4 linked regions of the Rhinolophus ferrumequinum genome follow. The protein of the gene in region 1 interacts with the protein of each later gene in a pairwise test. Links are inferred from orthologs where the notes say so. Each region holds a gene or a part of one and is shown in the gene's direction. Other genes may lie near its edges. The genes, in order: PIN1, CNKSR1, DAB1 and AMOT.

The links.
Region 2: the proteins of PIN1 (region 1) and CNKSR1 interact in binary tests that used the Homo sapiens proteins (3 or more experiments, as listed by UniProt). The two-hybrid records come from large-scale screens. The link is inferred for Rhinolophus ferrumequinum from reciprocal best matches to the Homo sapiens genes PIN1 and CNKSR1.
Region 3: the proteins of PIN1 (region 1) and DAB1 interact in binary tests that used the Homo sapiens proteins (3 or more experiments, as listed by UniProt). The two-hybrid records come from large-scale screens. The link is inferred for Rhinolophus ferrumequinum from reciprocal best matches to the Homo sapiens genes PIN1 and DAB1.
Region 4: the proteins of PIN1 (region 1) and AMOT interact in binary tests that used the Homo sapiens proteins (3 or more experiments, as listed by UniProt). The two-hybrid records come from large-scale screens. The link is inferred for Rhinolophus ferrumequinum from reciprocal best matches to the Homo sapiens genes PIN1 and AMOT.

The regions. Positions count from the first base shown.
Region 1 is NC_046301.1:40,249,495-40,256,502, reverse strand, and holds the start of PIN1 (peptidyl-prolyl cis-trans isomerase NIMA-interacting 1), read left to right. Parts: upstream 1-3,985; 5' UTR 3,986-4,070; coding exon 4,071-4,128; intron 4,129-6,069; coding exon 6,070-6,282; intron 6,283-7,008. UniProt on the Homo sapiens protein: Peptidyl-prolyl cis/trans isomerase (PPIase) that binds to and isomerizes specific phosphorylated Ser/Thr-Pro (pSer/Thr-Pro) motifs.
Region 2 is NC_046292.1:17,924,280-17,931,838, forward strand, and holds the start of CNKSR1 (connector enhancer of kinase suppressor of ras 1), read left to right. Parts: upstream 1-4,550; 5' UTR 4,551-4,571; coding exon 4,572-4,656; intron 4,657-4,701; exon of another isoform or gene 4,702-4,776; coding exon of another isoform or gene 4,777-4,828; intron 4,829-7,060; coding exon 7,061-7,218; intron 7,219-7,298; coding exon 7,299-7,480; intron 7,481-7,559. Other genes in the region: ZNF593 (zinc finger protein 593), read left to right, coding at 52-114, 206-347. UniProt on the Homo sapiens protein: May function as an adapter protein or regulator of Ras signaling pathways.
Region 3 is NC_046292.1:41,418,862-41,426,046, reverse strand, and holds the start of DAB1 (disabled homolog 1), read left to right. Parts: upstream 1-4,184; 5' UTR 4,185-4,293; intron 4,294-4,441; exon of another isoform or gene 4,442-4,554; intron 4,555-7,185. UniProt on the Homo sapiens protein: Signaling adapter of the reelin-mediated signaling pathway, which regulates the migration and differentiation of postmitotic neurons during brain development.
Region 4 is NC_046284.1:41,286,943-41,294,055, forward strand, and holds the start of AMOT (angiomotin), read left to right. Parts: upstream 1-4,100; 5' UTR 4,101-4,160; intron 4,161-4,649; exon of another isoform or gene 4,650-5,068; intron 5,069-7,113.

The DNA.
Region 1 (7,008 bases):
TCAGTGAGATAATGCAGTTAAAATAACACGATGTCTGATAAATAGTGCTATTAGGTGTCTCCAGCCTTCTCCCATGTGTGAGCAGACGACGCCAAACACTCCATCTCTGTTCCCCTAGCCACAGACCCTGGGGTTGACCTTGGCCCTGTCCTTTCCCAGAGCGGCATTCTGGAGCCGTTCTCAAGAGCTTCACCCACAACCTGGCTCCATCCCTTCTCCCCTCTCTTGTATTGACCTGCCCTGTCCTCGGTTCACAAACACAGTCGAGTGTAGTCCACTGACCCTTCCCTTCCCCCAAAGTCCCCCCAGCCTTCTGCCTTCCCTTCACTACCAAGCTTTTTTTTGTTGTTTATTTGTTTCTTACTACCACCAAGCTTCTTGGCAGCTGCACCTGCCAGCTGTCTGGGGGCTGCTGGCCTGTAGCCCATTGAGAATGGTCTCTCTTTGGTCTCCCATTACTCACCTCCCTACCTATCTGTTGGCTTCCCTCCTGTCCCTAGGACTCCACTTCCTCCTGACATGTCAGACATGTCTGTTTCCTGGTACCCTGGCCCTTACTGCATTTACAGCTCAATCTCGCCCCTTACTGTCTGTTAGAAAAACAAACCCAACAATTTTTTTTTTAACTACACGAGGGACTTGACAAGGTAATCCCTTATTAATTTCAAATCAGCCTAGAAAAGTACATGCTAAAAGTAAAACCCCTTTCCTCACCCGATTCTCTCTGCTGAGGTCAGACCTTTTCTAATGTATTTTTATAAACTTCAATTTGGTTTTTAAAAGATGTCTATGCTAATATCTGGTTCTTAAATAACATTCTCCAATAAAAGGAACTAGGGCTTCTTGGAAAAGTGATTGGTTCAAGAGCCAGGGCAGGGAAAATACAAGCTAAGCGTGGAGCATCTTGTGGTGTCAGGAAGTAGGAAGTGCTCAATTAAAAGGATGGAAACATGGAAAGAGCACAGAAGCCAGCCTATGAAAGAGCTCCCAGTAACCAAATTTGGAACAACTTGAGCAACAAAATAACGATAGTATTGGACTATAACCCAAAGAATAAATACCCTTGAGCCCATGATCATATCAATAAATAACTGAATATATAAATAAATGGAGAAGGGGCAACTCGTCATTACAAAAGGATTTCAATTAATAAACGTAGACGATTAGAGGAAATAAGAAATCATCCACCATTGGCATACCATAGTAATAATTGCTGTAGGCAAGATGCACTGATAAATGCTAAACTCGGTGGGTAAAAGTTTAAGCAGAAGTAGGATATTTGCACACTCTCAAAGTATCTCCTCAAAAGTATTTATTCATTACAATAGTAACTTTAGAAACTGCCTAGACCAAGTGATCAAAGTTAATATTGCCAAGTGTGGCAGGCAGCCTGTAAGATGGCCCCTAACGATCCCCCCATTCTGGTATTCACACCCTTGTGTAATCCCTTCCTCTTGAGTATAGGCTAGACCTCGCTTCTAAGAAATAGGACATGGCAAAAGTGGTGCACTATCACTTCGGAGATAAGGTTGCAAAGAGACTGGATTCTGTCTTGCTTGCTCACTTGCTCATTGATGAAAGCCAGCTGCCATGTTTTGGAGAGGCCGCCAGCCAATAGCCAGTGAGGAACTGTGGTCCTCAGTACATCTTGTTAGCAACTGAATCCTGCCAGCAGCCACATGAGCAAGCCTGGAAATAGATCCTGCCCCAGTCAAACCTTCAGATTAGACCACGGCTACCCCTGCTGACACCAGCTAAACTGCCTGGATTCCTGACACATAGAAACAGAAAATAAAATGTTACTCCCCTAAATTGTGGGGTAATCTGTTATGCAGCAATAGATACCCTAATGTAACCAGGAATACACTGCAACACCGTCGATCACCTGGTATGATGCACTGAGAAGGGCACGACGACTCTGGGGTACCCTTCCCAATAACTTCAATCGAATCATGAGAAAATACTGACAAACCCCACCATGACAAAACATCAGAATGAAGGCCAGTTCTACTCTTCAAAAGTATCAAGATCGTGCAAGACAAGGAAAAACCTAAAAACTGTCACATACTGGAGGAGACGAAGGAGACATGACAATGTGGATGCAAGTCTAGTTAATAGTATTATACCAAAGTTGATTTCTTAGTTTTGATAATTACTCTATGGCAGAGTTTCTCAGCTTTGGCACTGTTGGCATTTGGGGCTGGATAATTCTTTGTTGTGGCGGCTGTGCATTATAGGATGTTTAACAGCATCCTTGGCCTTTACCCATTACATGCCAGTAGCATTTCTCTCCCCCGACTTGTGACAACCAAAAATGTCTGAAGACATTACCAAATGTTCCCTGGGGAACGAAACCACCCCTGGTTGAGAACATGTTCCTTTACTATGTACAATGCTAATATAAGGGAAGTCTGGGTGAAGGGCATATGAAACTATATTCTATACTAAGTCTAACATATTTTTCAAAAAGGATTATGCTAACATGTGCTTGTAAAAAAAAATGAAAATCATATTAAAATCTAAGTTGCTCATTTCTTCACCTGCATCACGTGGCAGCCATTATCGTATTTGAATGAATCCAGAAATTCTCTATGATATAAACCTATAGTTTTTACACTTTTCAATTAATAATACATACTCTACATACTGATACTGTTCAGCAGCTTGCTTTTTATCTTTGATATCTTTCTATAAACGATGTCATTCTTTTAAAGCAATTTTATTTGTTGGTTTTTGTTATGCTTTTCTATGTACTATCAATTGCTATGCTGTACTATGATTTGCTTTTTTTTGCCCAGCAAACACATTCTTGCTATGTATAGGCCAGGCACTGTTTGAGTGCTTTATATAAATTAACTCATTTGATCTTTACATCAAAGGTATATATGAAATATATTTCATTTCTTATCCTCATTTTGCAGATGGTAAAGCTGAACAGCAGAGGTTAAGTAATTTGTTCAAGGTCATGGTAAATGGTAGAGCCAGGCTTCAAACAAGTAATCCGTCTCCTGAGTGCTCTTAGCCTTCTACCGCATCCTGTCTCTACTTTCTCGTGAACATGTTTCCCTGTGTTTTATGTCACTGCGCCTCATTCTTTCTAAGTCATATGAGGGTCAGTGCTATAGATGAACTGTAATTGAACTCTTCCCTGTTGGTAATCTTTGACTTCCATAGCTATCTCCAGCCCTGGGTCCCCCACCACCTCCTCAGTGCCCCATGGGTGCCACAGACTCCATTTTAAATAGAATCAAACTGAACTCATCCTCCCACGCTTGCCCCCTTCTGTGTCCCTCTCTGAGTGGCAATGCCATCACCCACCAGTCACCAGGATAGAGGCAAGAGACAGCTTTGGAGGGAATAAGTGATGTAAGTAGGTTCCAAAGAAAGTAGAAGGTGTTTGGGTCATTGGTAGAGGGAAAGGGTTAGACTTGCACAAAAAAAATAAAAGGGGATGGGTTAGCTTGGGACATCTGGAGGAAAGAGATGGGAAGAGGGAGGATGGAAGAGCCAAATTTAGGCTTCTGGTGCTTAGCTGCTCATCACCAAGGCAACTGCGTTGCTGTGGCAACAGCAAAGCCAGCATCTCTTCTCCCAAGTACCTCGTCAGCTACCGTTACCTCCACACCAGCCAGACACTTCCGTATAGGGGGCTGCGGCCCTCCGGAAACGGCTGAGGAAGGCGAGAATTGCTGCTGCAGTAGCCAATCGGATGGGCTCTGTGGCGAAGGACGCAAAGGAGGAGTTGGGACTTCTTTGAAGCTCGCCAAAGGGCTTTGAGAAGGCGGGAGTATATCCCTTCCCCACCACTTACAGGACCAGGAGAGGAAGGGGGCGGGGTCGGGTGAGGCCGACTAGGGGGGGACCGGGACCCAGGTAAATGTGGGGAGGATCCGCCCACTGTCGCTTCTGTGCAATAGAAAGCCAGAAGTCCAGTCCGGACAGTTGGAGTGCCCAGTGAGCGTCGTCTCCAGGCCCTGGTGCAAGGCAGGCCTAGCCAATCGGTGGCGGCGGTGGGCGGGCGGCAGAGGCGGTGCGGCGGAGGCGGAGCGGGCGCTGCGGCAGGAGGGAAGATGGCGGATGAGGAGAAGCTACCGCCCGGCTGGGAGAAGCGCATGAGCCGCAGCTCAGGTGCAGCGGGGGTCGGGGCTGGGGCGGGGCCGCGCGGGCCTGTGGAAGCAGGGCTCGAGCTCGCCTCTTGGGCGCGGTGTAGTTGTCCGATTTCCATGGGATCTTGGCTCCTCCGAATCGTCTAGGGTAACGGCCCCGGCCCGCCCTGTGGAGGCTTTGAGCCTCAGGAGCCAGGAAACCGAAGGAAACTAAGGCGGGGATGGGACCGGGAAAGCCTAGGGCCCTGTGGGGGAAACGGGGGGAAGGGGCCGGTGATCCTACGGCACTCCTCCGAGGGATGGTCTTGGTCCTGCCGACCGGGCTGACACTTTTCGGCCTAATGCACCTGACGTCGCGGGGAAACGTCTGTGCACCCCGCTGGGCCCGGGGGCACCCCTGGGGGAGGAGACCCTCTAAACCCATGCTCAGGGCGTGGCCCTAGAGTTGCCCGGCCTCACATCCCCAACCTACTGCTAACACGCGTGCCATCCACACCTAATGCTGAGCCTATGGTGAAATTCTGCCCGAGGACGGCCCCCGTGCTGGGGCCCGATTTAAGGCACATGTACAGTAATGGCAACACCAGGGCACTTTTATCAGCGTCGAGCATTATGCCGGGCGTTTTAAGTGTTTTCTGTCACTGAATGGCCACATCTCCTGGAGGTTGGTAGTCATTACCCCTATCTTGCAGGTGAGGAAACTGACGCCAGAAAACTTAAGGAACTCGCCCAAGGTCATTCATTTCAGGGGGTGGGGGCTGAGTGTGAGGTTAGAACCCAGTTTGTCTCCAGAGGCCCCTGCCCTTGTCACTGCAAACTGCTGAGAAGCAGGCCCCGCTCTCATTCCACTGCCTCCATTGCCCATAGCAGTCAAAGTCGCAGTAATAATTCTGGTTTATTGAACGCCAGGCACTCTGGTGAGCACTTTGCATACATCATCATTTTCTCTCCACTTGCACCAACCCCATAAAGTCTGATTGTCTCACTTCACTGCCACTTTTCAGCTGAGAACACTGAGGTTGGGAGAACTAGAGCCCACTGCCAAGGTTTTAGAGGCCGTCGTGGGTTCCGCTCTCTCCCACCCTGCCTCAGCCCTGGCCTGTGGCTATGGCCTGCAGCATAAAACTGATGCACTGTCCAACTCTGGGCCCCAACTCCTGCCATTCCTGCTCTGCTCAACCCTGACAGCCCTCCTCAGGGGTGACATTCAACCCTTCACGGTGCTGGGCACAAGTCCTCCATGTAACCCAGGCAAACTGGTTTTGTGGAATGATACCCCGTCTCTCCTAGGTCCCTCTTCAGGCTTCTTGTGTGCCGTGTTCGCTCCATGCTGCTCAGTCCCTGCCTAACGTCTGGCCCCCAGTAATGCTGGCCCCTTGGTGCAGCACAGTACGCTGTAGGGGAAGAGAGCTGAGCTTTGGTGTCTGACACGCCTGGGCGCAGTTGTGCCTGGAGCCCACTGAACACTCAGGAAACATACCTAGTTTTGTCATCTATAAAAGGAATATAATCATAGCTATCACACTCTTAATGTGTGCCAGGAGCTATCCTGAGCACTTTACAGATAAGAACTCATTTAGTCCTTACAATGGCCCAACAAGCAGGCGCTGTTGTGTCCGTTTTACAGGTGAGAAAACCGAGGCCTGGGGAAGGTAGATCATACAGTGAGTAAGTAGCAGAGGCAGATTTGAACAGGCAGTCTGGCTGCTGAGTGCATGCTTTGAACCACTCCGTCTCCCCCACCCTGGCTTCCTCTCTACTGTCACCCTGGGTTATTCAAAGTTATCAGTGACTGAAGTTATCCTGTTGTCTCATTTGCCGGCACCTAGAATGTTAGCTCCCTAAGGGCTTGTGGCACGTGGTGGACACAGTGGATTTGCTGAATGATGGCATCTCATAGACCAGTTCCTTATCCTGGCCTATGAGCAGGTCCCAGCTGAATTCCTGCCTCCTCTCCCTTCAGGCCGGGTGTACTACTTCAATCACATCACTAACGCCAGCCAGTGGGAGCGTCCAAGTGGCAACAGCAGTGGCGGTGGCAAAAATGGACAGGGGGAACCTACGAGGGTTCGCTGCTCACACCTGCTGGTCAAGCACAGCCAGTCACGGAGGCCTTCGTCCTGGAGGCAGGAGAAGATTACCCGGACCAAGGAGGAGGCCCTGGAGCTGATCAACAGTGAGCAGGGCTGGAGATGGGCTCTGGGGGGCAGGGCGGTTGGTACCTCTCCCCCTCCAGGGGCCAGAGTGGGCCTTGTACAAATCACACCAGACCCTCCATCCCACTTGCTCAGCTGTCAGGTGTGGCGTTGGCCAACACAGAAATGCCTATATGTGACATGAGCCTGGCCCAGATGGCCACCTCTTCCCACTAGGGACGGTAGGACCCAGCCTTGGAGCCTGGCAGACCCAGGTTAAGAGGGTAGCTATGTTGCCCTGTAACCTCCATGACCTTGGGGATTCAAGTCACCTCCATGAGACTCAGTTTTTGTTATAAAATGGGCAGCGTCATATATTGTCTATAAAATGGGCACCTCTGAGGGCTGTTGTGAAAATTCAGTGGGATGAGACAGTGCATGAAGCACAGTGGGCCCTCAGTCAGTCGGAGCTATTGATGATAATATCATCAAGCAGGTTTCTGTGGCACATGTGTGGGTGGGTCTGGAAGAAGGGGGAGGGGGAGGGAGGTTGGAAAAGTAGCAGCACAGAACTAGCCAGCAGTTATAAGTTAATTCTGCCCCAAGACAGGGGGCTGTTCCTTGCTTTGTTTTGTGTTTTCTCCACAGTCTAGAGCAGCAGTTGGTAACCTTTTTCTTAAAAGGCCAGATGGTAAATATTTTAGATTTTGTGGGCCATACAGTCTCTGTCAATTCTGCTTTGTAATATAACAGCCATAGACAGTATG
Region 2 (7,559 bases), on another chromosome or scaffold:
TGAGAGGCATCAATCATCTCCTCCCTCTCCTCCAACCCCCCATCGCTACAGGAGGTACTTCATCGATTCTGCCAACCTGAAGACCCACTTCCGATCCAAAGACCACAAGAAAAGGTATGAAGAAATAAGGAGATGATTGATAGATGGGTGCCAGGCGGACAGGGCTCGCATCTGGTCAGCTCACAACTCCTTTTCTTTCACCCAGGCTAAAGCAGCTGGGCGTGGAGCCCTACAGTCAGGAAGAGGCCGAGAGGGCAGCAGGTATGGGTTCCTATGTGCCCCCCCAGCGGCTGGCAGTGCCCACAGAAGTATCCACTGAGGTCCCTGAGATGGACACATCTACCTGACACGGCCTGAGGATGCAAGGCAGAGGAGCTGCCCATGGACAGTGATGCAGGGCTAGGCTGGGAGAGTCTGTGCCAACCTCTTTTGGCCCTGGGTTTGGGGAGTGGATGGCCTCTTCTGAGTGCCTTCCCCCTTGAATAAAGGAACTGGATAAAGAGGGCTTGCTTCTGACTCCCTAACTTCCAGGCAACCCCCATCCCAAACTCCTGCCCTGTAAGGGTTTCTCTGCTACTCTTGTGACAGGGCCCACGGTGTCTCTTTCCCACTTGGTCCAGCTTTGAAAACTTGCCTTCCCACAGGGGTCCTGACATCCGAGCTGGAGCCCCCAGGTGGAGCCCAGGTGCAGTGGGGAGGAGTGGGGAGTAGGATCTGGTTTATACTGTCCTGCTTCCAATGAAGACAGTCCCAAGATTCCAGCCCCTGATGAGTTACCTACCCCCAAGGGCCCAAGTGAGAGGCTGCCCACTTCATCATGGGGCCTGTGGTGGCGGCTGTTGCTCCACCATCTTCCAGACAGCATAGCAGGAGCCACCCAGCCCGAGGACAGCCAGCAGTGTAGCCGCAATCCCAGGCAGTGGATTCCTGGGCTCTGCCTTCAGTTCCCCAGCTACCTGCATCTGTGAATGTACAGAGGGTCCACCTGAGGGGTCAGTTGAGACTTCAAGGAAGGTTGGGGGGTGGGGGTGGGAAAGGGCTCAGAAGGTACAGCTGGGTGAAGGAGGTGTGGCTGTCATTGCTGCCCTAGGGAGATTCCACTCCAATTCCTTTCGCTTCACTGCCCATCTGGGCTCTGGCTGCTCAGGCAGCAGGGAACGTGACAGCCTGGCTTGGCTGTTGGAGGCGACAACCTAGCCATGGTAGGGGGAGAAAGGGGTCGGTATCAAAAGCCATTGGTTAGGGGTACTTACCTGTAGCACCCGGAAGTAGCCAGGGGTCAGGTGTCGAAATCGCATGCTGGGTGCCACTAGTCTCCCTAGCATCCTGTGGAGTGGAAGCAGGAATGAGGACCAGTGGTGTTCATAGTACCAAGAAGTGAAAATCAGGGCATAGAGGTTTCTGACCTCTCATATGCATGAGCGCCATGCCCTCAGAAGATGCTCACCAGTGTCTGCCTCACGTCTGGCAAGGGACAGGGCAGCTAGACCTTTAAATCTGGTCCCTTCCCCCACCTGCCTGCCCTGCCAGCCTTTGGAGCAGCTGTCAGGAGAGATCAGCATCAGGCCTGAGCAGCACCTCCCCCACCTACCCAGTCGGCCAGGCTGGGTAGGCGAGGGAAGCCTTGCCTGGCAGGGCTCAGGAGTCTCAGGCCTGGATCAGGTACTGGGAGGGCTTCTGCAGCCCTGGTCCCAGCCCTATCCCTTCCTCTGATGATTGGATGTCACCAATCAGCTCGCAGCAAAGGACAGGGAGGGTACCTTAACCCGATCCCCTTCTTCCAAACAGCTGTATGCCTTTTCACTTGGTTTTGGATAGATTAACCACCCCTACCTATGGAGAGGACACATATCATCACCCTTTTCCCCAAGATCGAGTTCCTGCAGGGACTTTCCTACCCTCAGCTTGGGGATAATAAAAGATTTGCCTATACTGTTTAAGGAAGCTGTCTATAATGTGCTAAAAAAAATAGTAGCTGACTGTGCTGAGCTCTATTCTAAATACTTTATGTGTATTACATTATTTCATTTGGCATTGATTGTCTCATGAAATGAAAAGAAAGGCCTAGTATGCAGAATAGTATGTAGAGTATCTGAATATAGAGAGAATGGAAGAACACCCAGAAAACTTAATAGTGGCTCCCACTGAGGAACGGGATAAGAACATGCTGGGAAAAGGACACGTCCTCGTTTCACTTAATAGCCTACTGTTATGTAATGACCTTTGAAATTTTTACAGCAAGTATGTAGAAAACACTTTTGTAAACTCATAAAACTACCTTCAAAAAAGAAGCTGCCATTTACTGTGCCCCTAACTGCCTAGTTCTAGATGCTGGGAATACAGAGTAAAGACACTCTTATGGTTGTTAGGCCCCCAGTGCTTCTAGGGGAGTACATGAGTACAAGTGGCTAGTTTTTGTCTGTTCCCCTACAGGATTGTGAGTCCAGGGAAGGCAGAGGCTGGCTGGCTTCTTACCTCTATATCTTGTGCCAGCTCAGAGTAGGTGTTTGATGACATCAGGATGGTGGAGACACGTCTGTGTAGTGCAGGGGTGTCCAAACTGCGGCCCGCGGGCCAACTGCGGCCCACAATCCATTTTTTATTGGCCCGCAGCAAATTCGAAAAATATATTTAGTTTACTTAAATAAACCAGGCGAGGCAATACGTACTTCACCTCGAGTGAGTGGCCCGGCTGTTTGTGTATTTTACTGCATATGGCCCTTGGTGAAAAACGTTGAAAAAAGTTGGGACACCCCTGGTGTAGTGGGTTTTCCCAGACTGGCACAGGGACACTGTTGAAGGAAGAAAAAGGCAAAAACATTACAGAGGGACTCAGCATGGAGGAGGGTTGGAGAGGACACACACAGTGCAGGGTATGAGGATATGAGGCAAAGGATGAAGCCAGAGAGGTGAGGGCCATGTTGCAAATCTGGAGCCTGATGGTTCACAAATGAAGGAGCCAGGCCTGCAGGGACCTGGTGAGCTGGAGTTCCCTTTGAAGGAAGCAGCCGCTGATCTGCACTTGTGTTTGATGCCACGTGTGAAGGTGCGACGGGGTCAGCAGAGCTGGCCAAGTTCCAGAAAGCTCAATTTGTATGTGAAATTATTAAATGACAACTAACATACACACAATACTTGGGCATCTGTGGGCCAAATTCAGACTTTAGGTCTTGGTTACAGACAAAATAGTGACAGGCTTTGGAGACCAGGTTTTGGGGCACTGGTAAAGATTTCAAACTAGGTGACACAGGGCCCTCTCCATAGAATTAAAGCAATAACTCAGCTCTACCCCATGTTACATATTTCAGGATACTTAAAGGACCTCCTCATAGCACTAAGGTCTAGGTGTCCTCCTTTAGAGAGGAAGAAACAGGTTCAGAGAGGGGTAGGGCTCAGGCTCGTCACACAGCAAGTGGAACTGATTCTAATTCCAAAGTCCTGGGAGTCCCCTAGCTGGGGCAGCTGCTGCTGCTGCTAACTGCAAACTATGTTTCAGACGTTCAAAGAGGAAGGCTCTTAACCTGGGCTTCAGCATTCAGGGGGCCCATAAACTTGGATGGGAAAAATATGTATTTTTTCACTAACTTTTATACTCAAAATTTGCCATTCCATATGTATTGAAGTATTAGCAGTTCTGTGGCTTTGTCCCCAATAGAAATCACAGATATTTTTATATTAAATTGTAATTATTGCAAATATCTCAAAATACTGTTTATGCTCATAACTATTGCAAAATCATGAGTTATTAACCCACTGTTAAATCGCACTGTTTTAGACACTCCTGCAATATAGTTGCCATTGATTTGGCACCTCTGTGCCCAGTAGAGGGTCTCTGACCAAATGGTGATTCCACCTGTTCTCACACCAGTAATCCAGGCTCCTCCACTACTCCCCTGCATTCTCTCTTTAGTCGTTTCCTGATCAATACATTCCAGAAGGTGAATCAAAGACCACCCCTCAGTTTTAGTGTTCTTCTAGCTGAGTGACAGCATACTGATGTTGTTAAAAATATATAACTAACCTGCCAGTCTTGTTACTTAATGCTAATAAACATACTACTATATCATAGCTTTGTATTTTTAACATCTTTATACTAATTATCCTCCATGCAATCTTCAGCACTTTGTTTTAAAAATTTAAAAGCATTATTCTAAGAAACGGCCCAGAGGTTTCACCAGACTGCCAAAAGCGTCCATGATACAAAAAAAGAGGGGCTAAAAATCCCTGTTCTAAAGGTTTTGAGCTATTAACTCCGGTATTCTTTCCAGCAGCCCATTTTACAGACAGGGAAACTGATGCACGATGGGTAGGTTAGCGCCCAGTCCCACAGCTAGCAAGCTGTAGAGCTGTGATTTGCACCCTTTGCACCCAGGGCTCTGGCTCCCTAACCTCTGTGCTTTGCTGCTGCGCTCACTGCTCACCTTTCAGCCCCTTTTTGAGGATCCTGAAGGTCAAAGTCCCGCCCTGTGATTTGAGGCCAGTTTGGGGCGGGATCCCAGGCCGGCTCTGAGGTCACGTGGGTCACACACCAGTGGTACCGCCCCCAGGTCAAGCCTTCTAGCTGCTCGGAGATGCCTGAAGGGCGGGGCAGGAGGCAGGCAGGCCGTAGGCCAATGGCTGTCTCAGCGCCTCACCTGGTCAGCTACGTGAGCCCAGGTATGCTGGTCGCTCCGCCCAGGGCCCAGCCCGGTCCCTCCCCAGCCCTGGGCTCTGGGAGCGGAAATTCCTGCGCCGGCGGGACGGAGCGGGCGTCAATCCCAGCGGGCGGACTAGGCCATGGAGCCAGTAGCGACCTGGACCCCCGGGAAGGTGGCAGCATGGCTGAGAGGTGGGTGGGACCGGGACAGAACTGGGCTTGAGGGTCACTGGGGCGGGAAGAGGTGAAGGAAAAAGGACCTGCTGAGGCTGTCAGTTGGTTAGTCTGTCAACAAGTATTTATAAATGTCTGCCATGAATCGGGTACTGTGCTAGGCAGAAGGATAGACGAGATGACCCCGAGGACCCAGAAAGGGTCTCCCATCGCCCCAAGAGGCAGCCAGGGTGGCGATGGGGAGGCGGTGGGTGTAATGAAAACAGAGGGGACGGCCCCAGAGCGTCCCACGCCTACTTTATCTCCTTAATCTTCCCTCCGCTCCAGGGTGTAGAGGGCTGTTATTAAACCCATTTTTCAGAAGCGGAAACTGACGCACTGAGCCAGGAAGTAATTTGCTCTGGCTTTGTAATGGGGCCTGCCCTATTTCTCTTCTTCCCACCCCCAGTCTCCCAGTGTGTGAAGCAGAAGCCTCAGCCAGACTGAAGGGGTTGACACAGACCCTTCCCCCTCCCCGTAGGGCCCTCCAGGGGAGATGCCCCCCAGGTTCAGTGAGCCCAGATGGGTGGGAAAGGTCTAGACAGCTGGCCGGGAGAGACTCAGAGAAGACGTCTGACATGCAGGTGGGAGGGGAGAGGTGAGTCAAGACTTCCTCCTAGAGGGAGAGACGGAGTGCAGGGGCAGTGGGAGTACACTGGGGGCACTCTCGGGGTGACCAGCCCCCACAAAAGCAGAGATTCAGAGCTAGATTCAGACTCCCAGAAAGGATTCCAGGCCCTGCTCCCTCATTCACCAGCTCTGTGACCATAGGTCTCAGTTTCCCTACCCATAAAATGAGACTAGCAACTCTGGTGTCATGAAGTGGACAAAATGAAACAATCATGACAAGTGCCTAGGATGTCTAACTCAATGTCGGGGTCCGAAGAAGGCAGCACAGAACATTCACTGTACATGGGAAAAGTTTCTCGAGGGCCATAGCCATGAAGTAACAGGTTCATGAACGCCTGTCCAGTGCTCTAAATGTCACACAGGGAATGAGAGAGAGCTGTTGATCACACACAGGTTCCACAGTGATGAAACCTGGCTTGGAACTCCTTCAAAGAGTGAGCAAGCTAACGGTTAACCTCTATTTGTATCAGTTTTCCCATCTGTGAAATGGGATAACAATAGTCTCTACTTTCTAGATTCAGTAAGGATCAAATGTGTGCATATGTTTAAAGCCCTTAAAATTTCACACATTCACTAGGTACTTTTCTTATTTTGGAGGGCCTACCTTGTGCCAGGCATGGGCTGGAATTAGAGATGAGCAGTTATTTAAGGTGTGGTCCTTCCTTGAAGAGCTCTTGATAAATTGGGAGAGGTTGATGTTCAAATGCAGAGGTTTGTGGAGGCACAGGGGACAGTGAAAAGAGGAGAGGCCCCCTACCCAGCCTGGGGTGTTGTGGAACACTTCCTGGAGAGAGTTAGATGAAAAAGGGAGTAAAGGAGCTGGAAGAGCAGTGCAGGCAGAAGGAATAGCACCTGCAACGACCTTGAGGCAAAAGAACATGCCAGGAGCTGCAGGGAATTCATGCTCTGGATCTGAAGTGTTGAGTTGGAGGGGCTGTGCCAAGAGATGAGACTGGAGAGGCAGGTGGCAGCCTGATCATACCGGGCCTTGTGGATCATAGTAAAAAGTCTGGCAATAATAACATGGTGGCTGTTATTGACTGTCAACCATGAACCTGGAAATGGGCCAACTGTTTGACATGTATCATGTCATTTATACACACATGATTAGAAGGTAGGTGCTTTTATTCCCATTTTACAGAAAACTGAGGCACAAAGCAATTAAGTTATTTGCTTAAGTGCTGGATCTCCCTGACCCCAAAGCCCCATGCTCTGACTCCCTATTCAGAAGTTCTTAGAGAAACGAGCATCAGAACACGTGGAGGATTTATTAAAATGTTGACTGCTGGGCCCTACCCCTGAAGTATATGGTGGGGCTAAGGATTTGTATTTCTAACTAGCTCTCCAGTAAGGCTGCTGCTGCTGCTGCTCGCGGGACCACCTTTTGAGATCCACTGCCCTAAACTATTCTACTTCTCAACTCAGTGCCCTCATCTGTCAATGGGCAGAACACAGTTTAGGTCTCAGGGTTGTCATTAGGAACAGATGGGAGGGAAAAGGGCTTTGCGGGAGTGAAGAAGGGGCCAGAAACGCTATGACACTCCCTGGCTCCCTTCATGCCGACCCCTGCTGTCCTTCCAGGCCTCGATGACTCCCTGCAGGACTATTGCTTTGAGGACTGGGAGCTGCCTGGCAAATACCTGCTCCAGCTCTGCCCCAGCAGCCTTGAGGCTCTGACAGTGTGGCCTCTGGGCCACCAGGAGCTCATTCTGGAAGGGGTAGAACAGCTCAAGGCCCTGGTGAGTGAATGGTGGCCACACTGGAGGTTGCTGATGGGCGGGCCGCTCCCAGGGAGTGACCTGCCCCCTCTCTGGCACAGAGCTCCGGGCTACAGACAGAGAACCTGCAGAGCCTGACAGAGGTGCTGCTGAAGGGGACCTGTGCTTTCCAGAGCTTAGTCCAAGGCCGCCTGGGAGGCTGTGCCGAGCCCCCTGCTGAGGTCCTCAGCGCTGCTGTGAATCTGGTGCATGACGCCCGTACCCTCCTCTTCTGGCTCAACAGGTACCTCAGGCTCCTCTCAGGCCCGGGCTGGGGTGACTGGTGAGGGGATCCTTCTTATCCTTGGCCTCCTCAGGGCCTG
Region 3 (7,185 bases), on another chromosome or scaffold:
AAAAATAAAAGGACTGTTATTTATAGTGACTGTAAACCAGAGTCAAGTTTAGTAATACTGCCAAACAACCTTTCCCTGGAATCAAGCAAGGCCAGTATCATAAAAGAAGGGATCTTCTGTTTTGATGAAGCCACATAGAAATTTTTTTTCATTGCTTTTTTGACCTCAGAAGAGAAATAGAAATTGGATAGTTTACTTGTTTCTACAGCAGAGAAGAAAAGTGTCTGAAATGTGGATAATGTAAGGTTTGCAAAATATTTTTCCTGCTTTTTTCAAAACTGGACCCCTTTATTTTCACACTAAATTCAAAAGTCTTGAACATGGCAAGCCAGACCCCTTCCTATTTGTTTATGCTGTTTTTCTAGAGTCAACTACAGTCTCATCCCCCAGAGAATAATTTCTTCTGTGCTTTTGCACATTCTCTTTTCTTTGCCTGAAATACCCTTCCCTTCTTCATCCGGTTACTCCTTATCTTTCAGGGTGATACAACTTCTTTTGTGAGGTCTTCTTAACATCCTACCCTGGGTTAAATACCCCTATTGGATGTGCCGCTAAAATCCTGTACTTAGCATTATCACGGATAGCACTGATCGCAGTGCAACATGATGACATGTTTCCTTCATGTGGCTATGGCTTGTTGGAGAGTAAGATTTTTGTTTTGCTTTTATCTTCTGCTCATGCCTGACATTATGTCTGGTATAGAGTAAGTGATCAGTAAATATTTTTTGAATAAGTGAATAGAATACAATCTGAGTTTGAACATGACTTTGAATGAAAGGGACTGTGAGAAACTTACACCTTTGGTATTAACCTTTGAAATTTTCTGTGTTCTATATGTTAGTATATTTTGAACACATGATGTCTCTAATAAGCTTTGTAAAAATGTTCCTTCTGAACATTAATTTTTTATTAATTTGAGAGCTTTATGTGTATAGAAATATTAGCATATTCCTGGCATATGCAAGCACTTAAACTATTTAATAAATGGTGGCTATATAATAATTTGTGTTTGAAACTCCCAGCGCTTACAGCACAAATTCATTTTATTATACTCCATCCAATGGAAGGTATATTTGAAACAAATGTAGGAATAAAGAGAATTTTAAATCATATAGAATACACAAAACAGGCTACTTTGCATTGCTTTCTTCGGATGAGTTATTGCCAGTGGGATTTAAGATTTCTGACATTTGGTTTTGCTTTCAGTGATGGGTCAGTTTCAAACAGCAGTTAAATAGGCAGCCCTTCTGAGTATCTTGAGAATCAAGTGCATAAGGATGAATTATGAGAATTCAATAAAACTCCTTTTGCCATCTGCATGCTATCCATGCCCATGTTTTTTATTCAGTTGACACTGAGCTTCTCAAAAGCAGGATCTGTTTCTGATTTATCATCATTATGTCCAATGCCTAGCACAGTGCCTGATGCATAGAATGGACTCCATAAATGTTGTTGTTGACTTAAAATTAACTAGTTTGGAATTCTGGAAAGAGAACCAATGCATAGTGTGTGACTTATTCTGTTCCCACCATGTCCAATGCATTATCTCATTTAAGGCTCACGGCAATCTCATGAAGTACGTGTCTCACGAAGTAGGTATCACCATTGTAGAATTTAGAAGTTCAGAGAGGTAAGTAACTTGTCAAAGTTGATGCAGGCCCATCAGCTTCCAGTCTGTATTCTATCCAGTACACACCATGAGAGTACCTCTCTCACTGGGTTAGCACGAAGGCTAAATGATTAAGATATGGAAAGGACCCAGAAGGGTGCCTGAAACATAATAAGCAATATATACATCTTTGCTGTACTCATTACTTTGTTGTTTCTCAGAGTAGATGGTAGAAGAAAGCATATGGATTTTTTTTCATATGCAAAACTTAATACAAATGGCCTTGTTATTTAAATGAGAAGAAAAAATACCGTAAATTTGAGATGACTTGTTATTTGACATGTTTAGCATAAGTTAAAATAGTACTACTTCAAAATTCGGCTTGGCTTAACCCAAAAGACTATTAGGTCCTTGGGCAGCTGTGTGCAGTTAGAATCTACATATTATGCTTTCTTCCAGCCTGGAGTTGAGAACAGCTGCAGCTTGTTGCCCCTGTTGGATTTAATGGGAATTTGCCCAGTTTCCATAGTGGACCATGTCCAGCACTGAATAGAAATAGAGTTTTACATGAGCCTTTTCCATTTCTATTACTCTTCCAACTCAGTGTTCCACACTCCCTTCAGTGTCTGTTATCATGATGTCAATTGAAAACAGAACAAGGTAGAAGAGGGATGATCGCAACAACTCTTACATGTGGGATATTAAAATGGATGTAAATGGTTTTTATGTTCCCTGGCTATCCACTGAAGCATGGAGAAACTTTGGATTTTTGTTTGTTTGTTTTTTTTGGTAGAGTCAATGAAAAGTTCGACCTCTGTTTGATAATCTAAAGTTTGACATTTGCCCCAGCCACCTGAAGTGCGTAATAGTTTTCTATACTCTTTCCTTTTATTTCAACCAAGTCTTCTTGATTGGTCTGTGTTCCCTGGTGTTTTTGTTTTTATTTCTGTTTTTTTTGTATTGAGTTCAGATTCCCGATGTCTGTCTTTACAGAGTAGGAACCTGAAGTCTTTTATTAATCTTATTAGAGTTGGCTGGAGAGCCTGAACTTCCTACTAAATGAATCTTAAGTGTTCAATAGTAACTCTTGCCACTCTCTAGAACATTGAAAAAGCCGGAGAGACTTGAGCCAGTTTTGTGGTCCCCACCATTAGATTTGCTGGTCATACCCAGGAGTCAGTAGAAACAGTTATATCAAGGGGGCACCTGCCTCCCACCTTGCTGGGAGTGTCCTCTGATCAACTATTTCCCCTAGATTGTATCCTGCCAATGACCTCACACGTTTTTCTTGTCTCTGTGTAAATTGCTATCTTTTCAGGAGGTGCATGACAGCCTCCATACACTGGGGCCTCCATTTGTACAGAAGCTGTTATTACGGAATAAGTTTAATGGGTCGTGAATTTTGTGGTGAAAAGGAGGGTCTCTCGATGACTTTGGATGTACAAGCCACAGACCTATTGGCTCCACAAGGATTGCATTAGGCTAAATATTTTTAGCCCATTGACTCTAGAGGTAATAACCCTAAATGCTTCATTAAATTTTCATGGGTGAGTGACAGAAGCTATAAGGGAAAAAAAACAAAACTCAAATCCACCACATTAGCTTTATTATTACACAGCTGGAGGACAGGAAGTGTGGCCCCTACAAAGGATAAAAATAAACTTTTTGAAGGACAGTTTCCTGACTCTTCCTTTTCCATGACCTGCTCCAATGGGTCAGCACTTGATCTGATTTGTTTCCTCCCACACCTGGCATTTTGCCCTCTGGAGGCCAATATACCACAACAAGCATTTACTGGAGTTGAATCCAGTCTCAGGATAGAAAAATTTCCAGACCGACACAATATTTTCTGCCACTTACTGAATTTTTGTAAACCAGGACCAGAAGTAGGAAGCTGGGGTATTCTCCCAAGCATGTTCTAATCTGAGACTCCTCCTCTCCTAGGAATTTTAAGAAAAGGAGTGGGGAGGCTGGGTAGGAAGGGGCGAGTTGGGGTTTACCTGGGGCCTGCATACTTTCAGTTGCCTGAGTCCCTGGACTGATGAAAACGTGACAGATGCAACCCTCTCCTCTATCAACTTTGCGTGGGAAGTTTCAGCGAAGACCAGAGCTGCCAAACCACATTTGGCCGCTGGGAGTTAGCGCCCCCTCCTGCGTGGGGGCTACATGTCCTTGCCGAACCTCAATTCTAGTTCTCACCCACTGGCGCTCTTTGTATTTGGGTGTGCCTATGTTTAGAGGTTTGGATAAAAGAGTAGCCCTAGATAAAAATGAGGGAGGCCGGGCGAGGGCTGCAGCTGGTGGTGGTGGTGGTCATGGTGGCGAAAACACTGGATACTTTCTGAAACCCGAGTCCGGTAGTTTTCTCTCCTTCTCTCCCCCACGCGCTCTCCGCTGGCACAGCCGGGGTTGGGTACCCTGTGCTCTCTGCTCCGCTCTCCCCCTCCACGCCGGGCTGGGGAGTGAGTGCAAGGGCCCCAGAGGCGCCACGGCGAACCGCGGCGCCCCCGCTCGCTCGCTGGCTCGCTCTTCCTCCTCCTCGTCGCCACCGCGACTCGGCTAAACCCTCGGAGCGCGCTCGGGCAGCGCAGAGAGCGCCGGGCGGGAGCGAGAGCAGGAGCCGCAAGGCTGGGACAAGGGGCGCGCGGCGGGCACCCCGGAGGCGGCGGCTGGGTTGCCAGCAGGTGAGCAGCGCCCACGGGCGCCCCGTGGGCGTGGGGCAGGAGGGGCTGGGGCTGCAGGAGGAGGCGGGTCTGCACACAGGGCGGTCTCCTCCCCCTGCTCTGACGCGGGGCCGTGGCTCTCGGGGAGGATGGACCCAGCTCCGTGATCGCCGGGGCTTCCCCGGGCTGGAGAGCGTGCCTGAGTGCTGCCGCCCGCCGGGCATGGGGAGCCGCTTCCCGCGCGGCTGCGGCAGCGGCGGAGGATGCTCGCGGCGAGCCGAGGTGAGGTGCGGCGGCGGCAGGAGTTCCGTGAGGACAGGAGTTCAGAGCGGGCAGTTGCCCGGTGGGCACAAGGCGCGGGGACACCCAGGGCACCCCTCTCAGGAGTTTGGTTAGGGGTACCGCGGGGACAGCGACTGCAGTTTTCCGCCCGCTCCCTCCAGTTGCTGGGGAAAGGGGCAACCTCTGAGCCTTCTTTCTGCGTCTCCACCATAACCCACAATCTCCCTACTTCTGACCACTCGCGGTCCCCTCTCCAGACCTCACCCCAAATACTTGTCTGTCTCCAGGACCCCTTGCAACCTCCTTCCTTCTACGCTCCAGTCTCTACCCAACCACGGACCTTCGTTCTCCCACTCCAAAAGCTACCCGGTTTTCTCGAGTCCTTCTCCCTGCTTCGCTGGCGGCGTCCCGGGGCTGGATCCTCTTTCTTACTCAGCCAAACCCAGTTTTCACTTCCCTACTCCTCTGCGCGCTGCGGTTCTGCCCCGACCTGTGGAAAAATCGGATGTATCCCAGGAACCCCTACGCTTTCGCAGACAGCAGTCAGAGCTAGAGCCCGCGTCGCCTCTGACTCCAGCCCTTCCCCGGGTCCTCCACCGGCCGGGCTCTCCATCGTTTTCCTCCCCTCCGTTCCACTCCCCAGGCGCCCTGCCACCCCAATAGGTTGCCTCCCCAACCCGCACCTCTTGCTTTTCTATGCTCTAGACTCCATGCTCTGCCTCGGATGCAGAGCTCAGGGTTTTCTTTCTTCTTCTTCTAATTCTTTTCTTTTTCTTTCTTTTTCCTACTGGGGAAACTTTAAATCCTCAAGATTTGGCTCTTAAGGAAGCCCTAAAAGGAGGACTCAGTCGCCAAGAAAACCTGGAGTCAGGGAGTCAGAGATGAGGGGAGTTTGTGTCGCGCCGTCGGAAAGGGGTTTTGGGATGAGCGTACAAAGTAAATTTCAAAACCGCTGTGGTTACTGTAGCCCGGACTCTCCTTCCCGTCTGCCTTCGTCCTGCAGAGTACCATTATGACCCCTGGTGGGAGGGCGCATCTTTTTTCTGCTCCTGTTAAAACGCCTTTGTGTGGGTGGTGGACCGGACGCGGGATGGTGCAGGGTTGGGAGGCGGAGGGCACCAGGGAAGGCTGCTGCCAGAGGCTGATGCCACTTCGCTCCTGCACAGCTCCCTCCCGACCCCGCCAGACTGTGTACGTTCTACTCCCTGTAAGCTCCCCGTCCACCCCCAACTGCATCACACAAGTCCTCATTGTTGGGGGTTCGCCTGGGCACTTCCGCCTGGGCTGGGAGAGTCTAAAGGAATGGGATGGGGGTGGGGAAGCCCGGGGCGCTTGGCGACAGCAGTCTGGCATTCGCTGGAGGCTTGGCGGTGGAGGAGGAGCTGAGAGCGCCGCGTCGCGGGCATCTGTGTGCTCCGGCGTGTGTCGGCGAGGGTGGGGTGCGTGCCCACGGAGGTGGGTGCCTGCGGGTGCGTTTGGATGCTGGCGCACGCCTGAGCTTAGCTCCTTTAGAAAGATGGGCGAGTGGAAAGCTTGCGGAAGCCAGCGGGCCTTTTGCTGCCCCGGAGCTGGGTGGGCCAGCGAGTCCTCCGAAATGGATGCTACAGTGCCGTCCTCTATAGCGAGTTGCCGGGACCGCAGGAGGATCCTCTGTCGCTTGTTCCTCCCTTCTGCTCCCCTCCTACTGGCCATTTCGAAGTACTTTCGCAATGTTGATGGTTTTGAATAAAGGCCTTGTGGGGGTTCCGCTGACACTTCATAATACTTAACATTTTTTCAAGTAATCATATGAAGGTAGCTTACATTCAGAACCCCCTGATTATTGGGTTCACGTTTGTACATTTATGTGCCAATGATAGGTCTTCAGGAAAGCCATAACGTGGTAAACCATCCCCACCCCCTGAATTAGCACCCATTGTTTTTATTATCTCAGTGGTGCGTGATTCTGGACGGAACCCAGAATTGCCCAGGCTTGAAGATAGATGTGCAGGAGGGGAGAGATTGCGTGACGAGGAGCGAGCTCCACCGCCCCTGCCCCAGCCCCTCCGGCTCTTTCACTTCCTATCCTGACAAGGCTTGGAGACAATTCTGGAATCTAAAAGGGATCAGAGATTTTCTTGATTTCCTATTGAGAAGGGCGACCTAATCAAAGCTGTATAAAAGTCAACTTCTAAGCAATCAGAAATTGCTGATGTCTTTGATTGAAACCCCAGCATTCAAATGGAGTTTTGAAGAACTCCCAGACATGGCTTTGGAAGTGCTATTGTTCTTTTCCATACACAGAGGCCCTCTCAAAGGTTTAGGAAGTTCAAAATGCAGTGATTTGAAAGACTGACCTTGTAACTATTTGGCAACTCGGAGAGGATCAGCAGGGATGAGAGAAGAGGCTGAGGTGGGAAGTGCAAACGTGTTGTTACTATCTTCTTGGGAACAGTGCCTATCAAGTGGGAATTCAGTCCTTCACATCAAGTTGGCAATTAAAGCTCTTCCCCAAACAGATTTAGAAGATGATTTTTAGTAGTTTTTCATTTCTTTCTTTCTTTCTTTTTTTTTTTTTTTGGTGGTTTGCTTAAGGTCTGAATAGGCATATCTGAAACATTTAATCATGTTCATTGTATTCAACAATAAAAT
Region 4 (7,113 bases), on another chromosome or scaffold:
TGCACACGTGTCCCTTTGTTCCTTTCCCATTCAGATAAAGCTGCTATTTTCTGATGAGCTCATTTCTGCATGAGAAGGGCTAGTATCTTTGTGAATAAATAGACTGACTTTAGGAGGTGTCCCATGAAAGGCTGCTTTTCAGTGTTTGTCTGATATATTTGTCGGGTGTTTTTTGGGGGAGGGAAGGAGAGAGTTATGTGGAACCATAAATCCTTAGGATTTATTTTCCCTAATGTATGTGCTTTTGTTTCTAAATGCATTTAAATGATTTAGTTGTTCACCAGGCAATTAGAGGAAGATGTGCTCATTTCACACTTGCAGTTGGCTTGGTGGGTGGGGGAGAAAGTAATTCAATAGAAAGCACTATGGTTTTATGGTCTTTTCTTCTAGAAGAATTTAGCCAGGGATTGAGGAATAGACTGTAAGCCGCATCCTCCTTCTTAACTTTTCCTGTACATTGAGCAAAAATATTGCATGCAAAGGGCAGACTTTTTAAAGATTTTTTTAGTTGCCAAAATTAGGAACCAGGAGATTTTCCATTAAAATATTTGATTTCTGGTCTGGTTTCTCTTGAAAAATCGAAGTCCTGGCCACATTGGGCCTGCATTTCCCACGGTGCTGACCATGGGAAAGCTACCCCTTTACATGGGTCCTGCCTTCTTGGCAGCCTACATCTTGGTCTTATCACCTGACACCGAGCCTGAGGATTTTTACCATTAATTTTTTTATTGTTGTAAAATATACATAACATAAAATTTATTTACCATTTTAAGTGTACAATTCAGTGGCATGAAGTACATTCAAAATGTTATACAACCATCACCACTATTTCTAGAAATTTTTCATCATATCAAACAGAAACTGTGCTCATTAAACAGTAACTCCCCATTCCTCCCAGTCCTCAGGCCTGATAGCCCCTATGTTACTTTCTGTCTCTATGAATTTGCCTATTCTAAGTATCTCAGATAAGTACAATCATACAATATTTGTCCTTTTGTGTCTGGCTTCTTAGCATAATGTTTTTAAGGGAGACATTGATTTTTTCATTGACTTATTTTAGAGCATAGACATTGATTTTTACTGCATGTTAAAGGAGGAGTTACATTTCATTGAAAACAAGGCCAACAGGACAGATCATTTGGGATGGAGACTTGACTTCTAAGCTTAAAATGATCATTATATCCATTATTGATAAGTGGAGGTTCTCAATGTACTTAAACAACCCAGTGTCTTTATACAGGTGTTTTATAGTTGCTGGTTAATTCTGGTATCCCCCAGAGGCTTCTCCATATCTTATTGTCAGGATATGAGGACATGGGGATGCTCTGGGGGTTAGTTAAATGTGTGTGGCATACTTTGCTGCATAAACTCACTCTGGAACTAGCACTTAGCATATGCTTGTTAGTTGTCTTTTTCTGTATATACCCTTGAAGGTAGGAGCCAAGTCTCATCCCTCTGTTTTTTCATTCTTGTCCACAATAGCAACTCTATCGATGTTTGTTGATGTTGGCCTCCCCTCCCCCTTCCTTTTAAGTAGGGCTGGTAAAGCATAGCTTTAAATTCAAACTCAGTTTAAACAAACCAAAGAGTTTTCAGGGTAGAAACAAAATGAACTCTTGCTAGGCAGGAAATAAGGAATACCTAAGCTTAGAGATCTGGGCAAAGCACAGGTACGAAAAAACCTGTTGTTTGCCACAGGCTAAGAAGTGAATCACACACGTGATCGACCATCAATTTCAGAGCTGTGCTCATTCTACTCCACCAAAACTTAAATTTGGAGAAGAATAATATCCAAGGCAGAATTTGAGGAGGGGGAATTAAGTGTTTTAAGGGTTTCCATTGTATGAAAGTCCCCCATAGCTGTGGGGAAGTGTAGTTGGAAAAGTCTTTTGATTGCAACTTCAAGGTTAGGGGCAGGCATCCTAGAGACACAGCCTCCAGGCCTTTGTACTAGGATTTGTTTGCCAGTATTTTCTGTGATGGCAAAAGATGGAAAATGGCCAAAATCACCTCAAAAGGGGAATGGGTAAAATAATTTTTGCACATCTGTGTAATGGAACACTGAGCTATCACGACAAAGAATAAGGTAAAGGAAGTTATCCTGAGATGGATGGATATTTAAGAGACATAATATATTTTGAAGATTACACACAGGCATAGAGAGAAAGGGAGAAAGGGACTATGAGAATGGAGTGATGGAGAGGAACTCTGTATTCCTTTCAGTACTGTTTTAATTTAACCCTGTTCATATTTTACTCTTTCCATTTTAATAGCGTTGTTAACAAGTATCCTGTTGCCATTGTGATCAACAGTAGTCTGTAGCATATACTCATCCTATCTAACTCCGCTGTCCACCTCCTCACTCCAAATAGCAAGGCAGGAATAATCTTCCCTTGATTCACAAACCAGGTGTCTCCATGTCTTTAACGCTCACAATCTCACCTTCTCCATGAAAACTCACCGGAATAACTTCACCTCACACATATATAGAATTATACCAAGAATCCATTTTGTCCATGCTCCGGCTTCTGAATCTTTCAGCAGCCCTAGTAGAGTGCTCTACACACTGAGGCTACCCTACAATATGGCACCTACTCACCACTTTTCCTGTGTGTTTGTGTGTGTGTGTGTGTGTGTGTGTGTGTGTGTTTATATTCTGAGACCCTGTTCACTGTGAGATAGTGTTCCCTTTGAGCACACTTTTCTTGCATGCCTTGATCCATGGCCCCTCAGAAAGCTCCCATTAGGCAGGCTTGAATTGGATGTCACTTTTTTTATTGGCATGAGTTCATTACAATAGCTCTGTGTTGTCAAGGCCTTTATATTTAGACTTGCTTCCTCCTTCTAATGTTTTCTAGGAAATATGGATCTGTAGAGAATGGTGGTTTCCATGGTAAATGTTCCCTCATATTTGTTTTCTCAAGTTCACTTCAGATATACACAGCATGATTTACTTTTTCAGTACCAGTACCGTTGTGGCGCCACTGCAGAACTGTTTAAAAAAGTAATCTCACCCACCCTGGTTAGAAAAGGGGTAATTTTTTATTCTAACTGCAGGGAGCCAACTTCATATCCACCCCCAAAACTGTAGGAAAAGAGTTGACTTACTAAAATACAGCCACAAAACCTACACACCTTGGATGTAAATGATTAAAACAGATGAGCAGAATATTTGATTCTCAGACACATGTGAGTCTCTCCAGGGCATAGTATACACAAGTAGGAACACATACATACATACATACATACATACATACATACATGTGGGCGTGGTTTGTGATTTATACAGTTTTCACACACAATTCATTTTATTTTTATATACAAGTGCAATTAAGTAATAGGGTATGTTTTATAGCTTTTTAGATAAGCAAATTAAGGCTCAGGGATGTTAAGCGACCTCACAAAAGTCACACAGCTCCCTGGTAAGTGCTAAAGCCTGATATGAGTTCTTCCTTTAGCTCCAAATTCCATGTTATTCTGCCACCCTTAGACTGTTTCTCTGTGCTTTCATTGCCCAGATGTAAAATGGAAGATTTTCAGTGTACCAGGATGCTGTTCTCAACTCTCTGTGTTCTTAAGCAACATCAATTTTTCACCAACGGAAAATGTGAACACCTCATTGACACTTCACGTACTTTTCCCTCTCCTGGACTAATTAATTAAAGGGGAAGAAAAGTTACCTATCCCCAGAGGACCTGACAGTGCCATAAAGGTGTGCCGGAGACTGCTGACACATTGTCGCACTCTCTTAGGAGACTGAGAAGCTAACCGTCTCAGCTTTCTCTTCTCAGCAGTGGCTGGGGAGAACAGAGAGCAAGACAATAGCCTCTTGTTTAGTTTTATTAATTTTGAGGGCGGGTGGGATCGGATCGACAGCGCAAGTCACCAATCGTAAGCGAATCCTAGGCCGGGATTAGCCAACCCATAGTTGCAAACGAACAGTGGATGGGATTTACCCTTTCTGGGCCCACTCCGCAGGGGCCGGCCCTCCCAGCCTGCCCAGGGGCGGAGGCTGCGCACAGCCCCGCCCACGCCAGCCCCGCTGCCAGCGCGGCCCGCCACCAGGGGTAGGGGCTTGCGATGTGAGTGTGGTGGAAGGAAGCGGGAGTCTAGGGAGAGCGGAGGAAGAAAGGAGGATGTCTTGCAGAGCTGCGACCTGGGTGAGGGCCTACTGGTAATAGGAAGCAAGAAGGGAAGGAACATGAAGAAGCGTTGCTCCTTCCTGCATTATTTTAAGCAGGCTTTGCAAAAAGCTGCTTTTCAGCATTTCTATTATTTGTTTTTCTTCCTCCTGCTGTGGGGCTGGGAGCTTCACTGGCCCTCCCACGCGACTCTGCTCCGCTGTTGCCGTAGATTATTATTGTAGTCTTTGTAAAACCCTTCCCTTCCTCCCAGCCAGTCCTTGCGTCGATTCTCAGGGCTACTGTAACCGATTTGTGCCATGTTAGTGGGAGGACCAGAGCGAGAACCCCCCCGCCTTTGCCCGAGCGGTAAGACCCGCCATTCAATTGTTTGAAACTTCCCCGCCCTCTAGCCCCACCTCTCTTCCGCCCTCTCCTTCCAGGCTCCAGGCAGGCCCCCTCCCTTCTTTCCCCGCTCTCTACTCCGCCCCCTCCCTAGTCCACTCCCGGCTCCTGGGCGGTCCTAGCGGCTCATCGCAAGAAGAAAAGCCACCCATTCGCCCCCCTCCCCTACCTCTCATCCTTTTCCCAGGAGCTGCCCTCATCGCAGTCACGCCCCTTCCTTCCGAGGAGCTTTCTGACTGCCCAAGCTGGTAGACCCCTGATTTATTTCTCCATCTCCTCTCTCTTTGGCTTTATCTTCTGTTAGTTCTCACCACCCCCTCCACCCCCACCTCCAGTCTGTCTCGTCTCCGACTATCCGCTGCTCCACCCTTTGGCCCGGTATCCTGCCTATCCACTGCCACCAAGGAGATCCCGGAGGGAACAGCGAAGAGGAAGCACCCAGGAATTGGGGCTTTCCCCCTGCCCATCTCTGGCCTCTGGCCTGGGACCGAAGCCACTTGAGCGAGTAGAGACTCGTCACCTTGTCTTCGTTGCCTTCAGGGGTAGGAGACGCGTGGTTACTTTTCGCGGGGTAACTGGGGCAGGAATCCATGGTGGCATGAACTTGATCATGCCCTCGGCATAAGTGAGTCGATCTACATGCGTGCGGGTATGCCCGTGTGTTCTGCTTTCTTTGCAGTTGGCCATGAGTTTTTCGAGATGTGCAGCAAGTTAAATCGGTTAAAAAGTGCGTGCTTCTTTCCCGTCGGAGATGCTACTGGGTACCACAACTTGATGTTACTTTTACTTACTTGCCTCCCGGGGTCTTAGTAGGTCTCTAGGTAATTAAGTACAAAAGAAATTAAAGACCTGAGGGAACTCGAGATCTACATTTAGCTCAAGGAGAAAGTCCATGCTTATCTCAGATTGCTAGATGTGTTCCTCCTAAATTCTTAGGGTTGGGGTGGGGACCTTGAATTCTTGAAGTCTTAAAGTCTGGGAGTAATCTACAACGAACGCTACACTTTTTTGGTGAGTGTGTGTGTGTGTGTGTGGTGTGTTGAAGAGGAGGCTGCCCCTTATCTGCTTTACATGTTAGTGACTAGTTTTGTGGGATCATGCAGGTATGTCTTGAGGGTCTTAAACCTGTGTCATTGTTGGTGCTTCAACAGCAAGATGGACTTACAGATATATGAAGATATATATTGATATATTTTCGATAGGATAAGTGAGAGGGGAAGTGGCAGTCTTTGTAGACTGTGAGCAGTCCCTGGTAAATTGCCACTAATAATTAATAATAATTTGCAGCAAGGGACTAAATAGAATCAAATGAGATAGGTAAGGGAAAGTTTGTGTGAAACAGCATTTCTAATCTCTAGCATGTACTTTAGAAAGAATTTTCCAACACCTTGGAGTGTCTAATTTAGTTCTCCTTCCTCCTCCCTTCCCTTCCACCCCCACCACAAGAAGAATGGAAGTTGGGAGGCAGTTTATTTTGTTTTAATATAACCCTCTTCTCCCATTCAGAGAGGAAGATAATTGCCTTGTTTCCCCAAAAATAAGACCAGGTCTTGTATTAAGATTTGCTCCAAAAGACGCATTAGGGCTTATGTTCAGGGGATGTCATCCTGAAAAATCATGCTGGGCATATTTTCCGGTTAGATCTTTTTTTCAGGGAAGCACGGTAGTCACCATAATCTTTAATAATGGAGGGCTAAGGTTGTTTAAGTCTCCTTGAACCAGACTTTGTGCAAAGTCCTTTCTCAGGCCAGCCTTTGTGAAGCCTTCTCAGTTAGACCTTCCAGAACCCTCATTTAGTAGCTAAGAATAGTGTAAGATACCATTTGGATCTTACACTATTTGGATGCAGGGTAAATTTTCACCCATGTGCCACCTATCTCCAATTGGGCAAGCATGGCAAACTTAGAAGAATGGTGGTATTCAAAGACCTATTACCAAGATGTCCCCAACCCATTGCTTATTTGGCAAGAAATTATTGACATATTTTTAAATAATTTCACTGGTTGATTTTGATGGGGGGAAAGGAAAGCAGGAAGGGAAAGGGGACGTTACAGGTTACAGGGCAACAATTTTAAAGGCTATCTATCGTGTTTCAGATCAACTGGGAGGGAAAAGTTGGCCTGACCAAAACTACATTTTATAAATGGCCTGGGACATTTTAATAGCCAGGTGGTTGTAGAGTAGTTGCATCTATTTAGAGATGATAACACTCAGGTTCTAGCTATTCTGTATGGGCTTATCCGGTGTCATTTACAGACACTTTCTGGCACTACATCCTACTTCGTTTTAAGATACTTCTTTCTTTGGAAAGGTCTGGCTATGTAAAATTGAAAGTGCTTTTCCTAACTTCATAGTCTAGATATGAAGTAAACCTCTGACCAGGCTTGTATATCGCGTAACTTTTCTGTGAAAGTTGTGGATCTCTTTACCTATTTAAAAGATTTTAGAAGGGAATTTAAAAACTCATATTCAATATACTCTTTTGTATTTGGAAATTAAAATCTTATTTCTGGTTTGTGAAGTAGGATTCATTTTGTGGAATTGCTTTATCTGTAGTTTTATAAAGAATCAATCAGACTCTAGAATT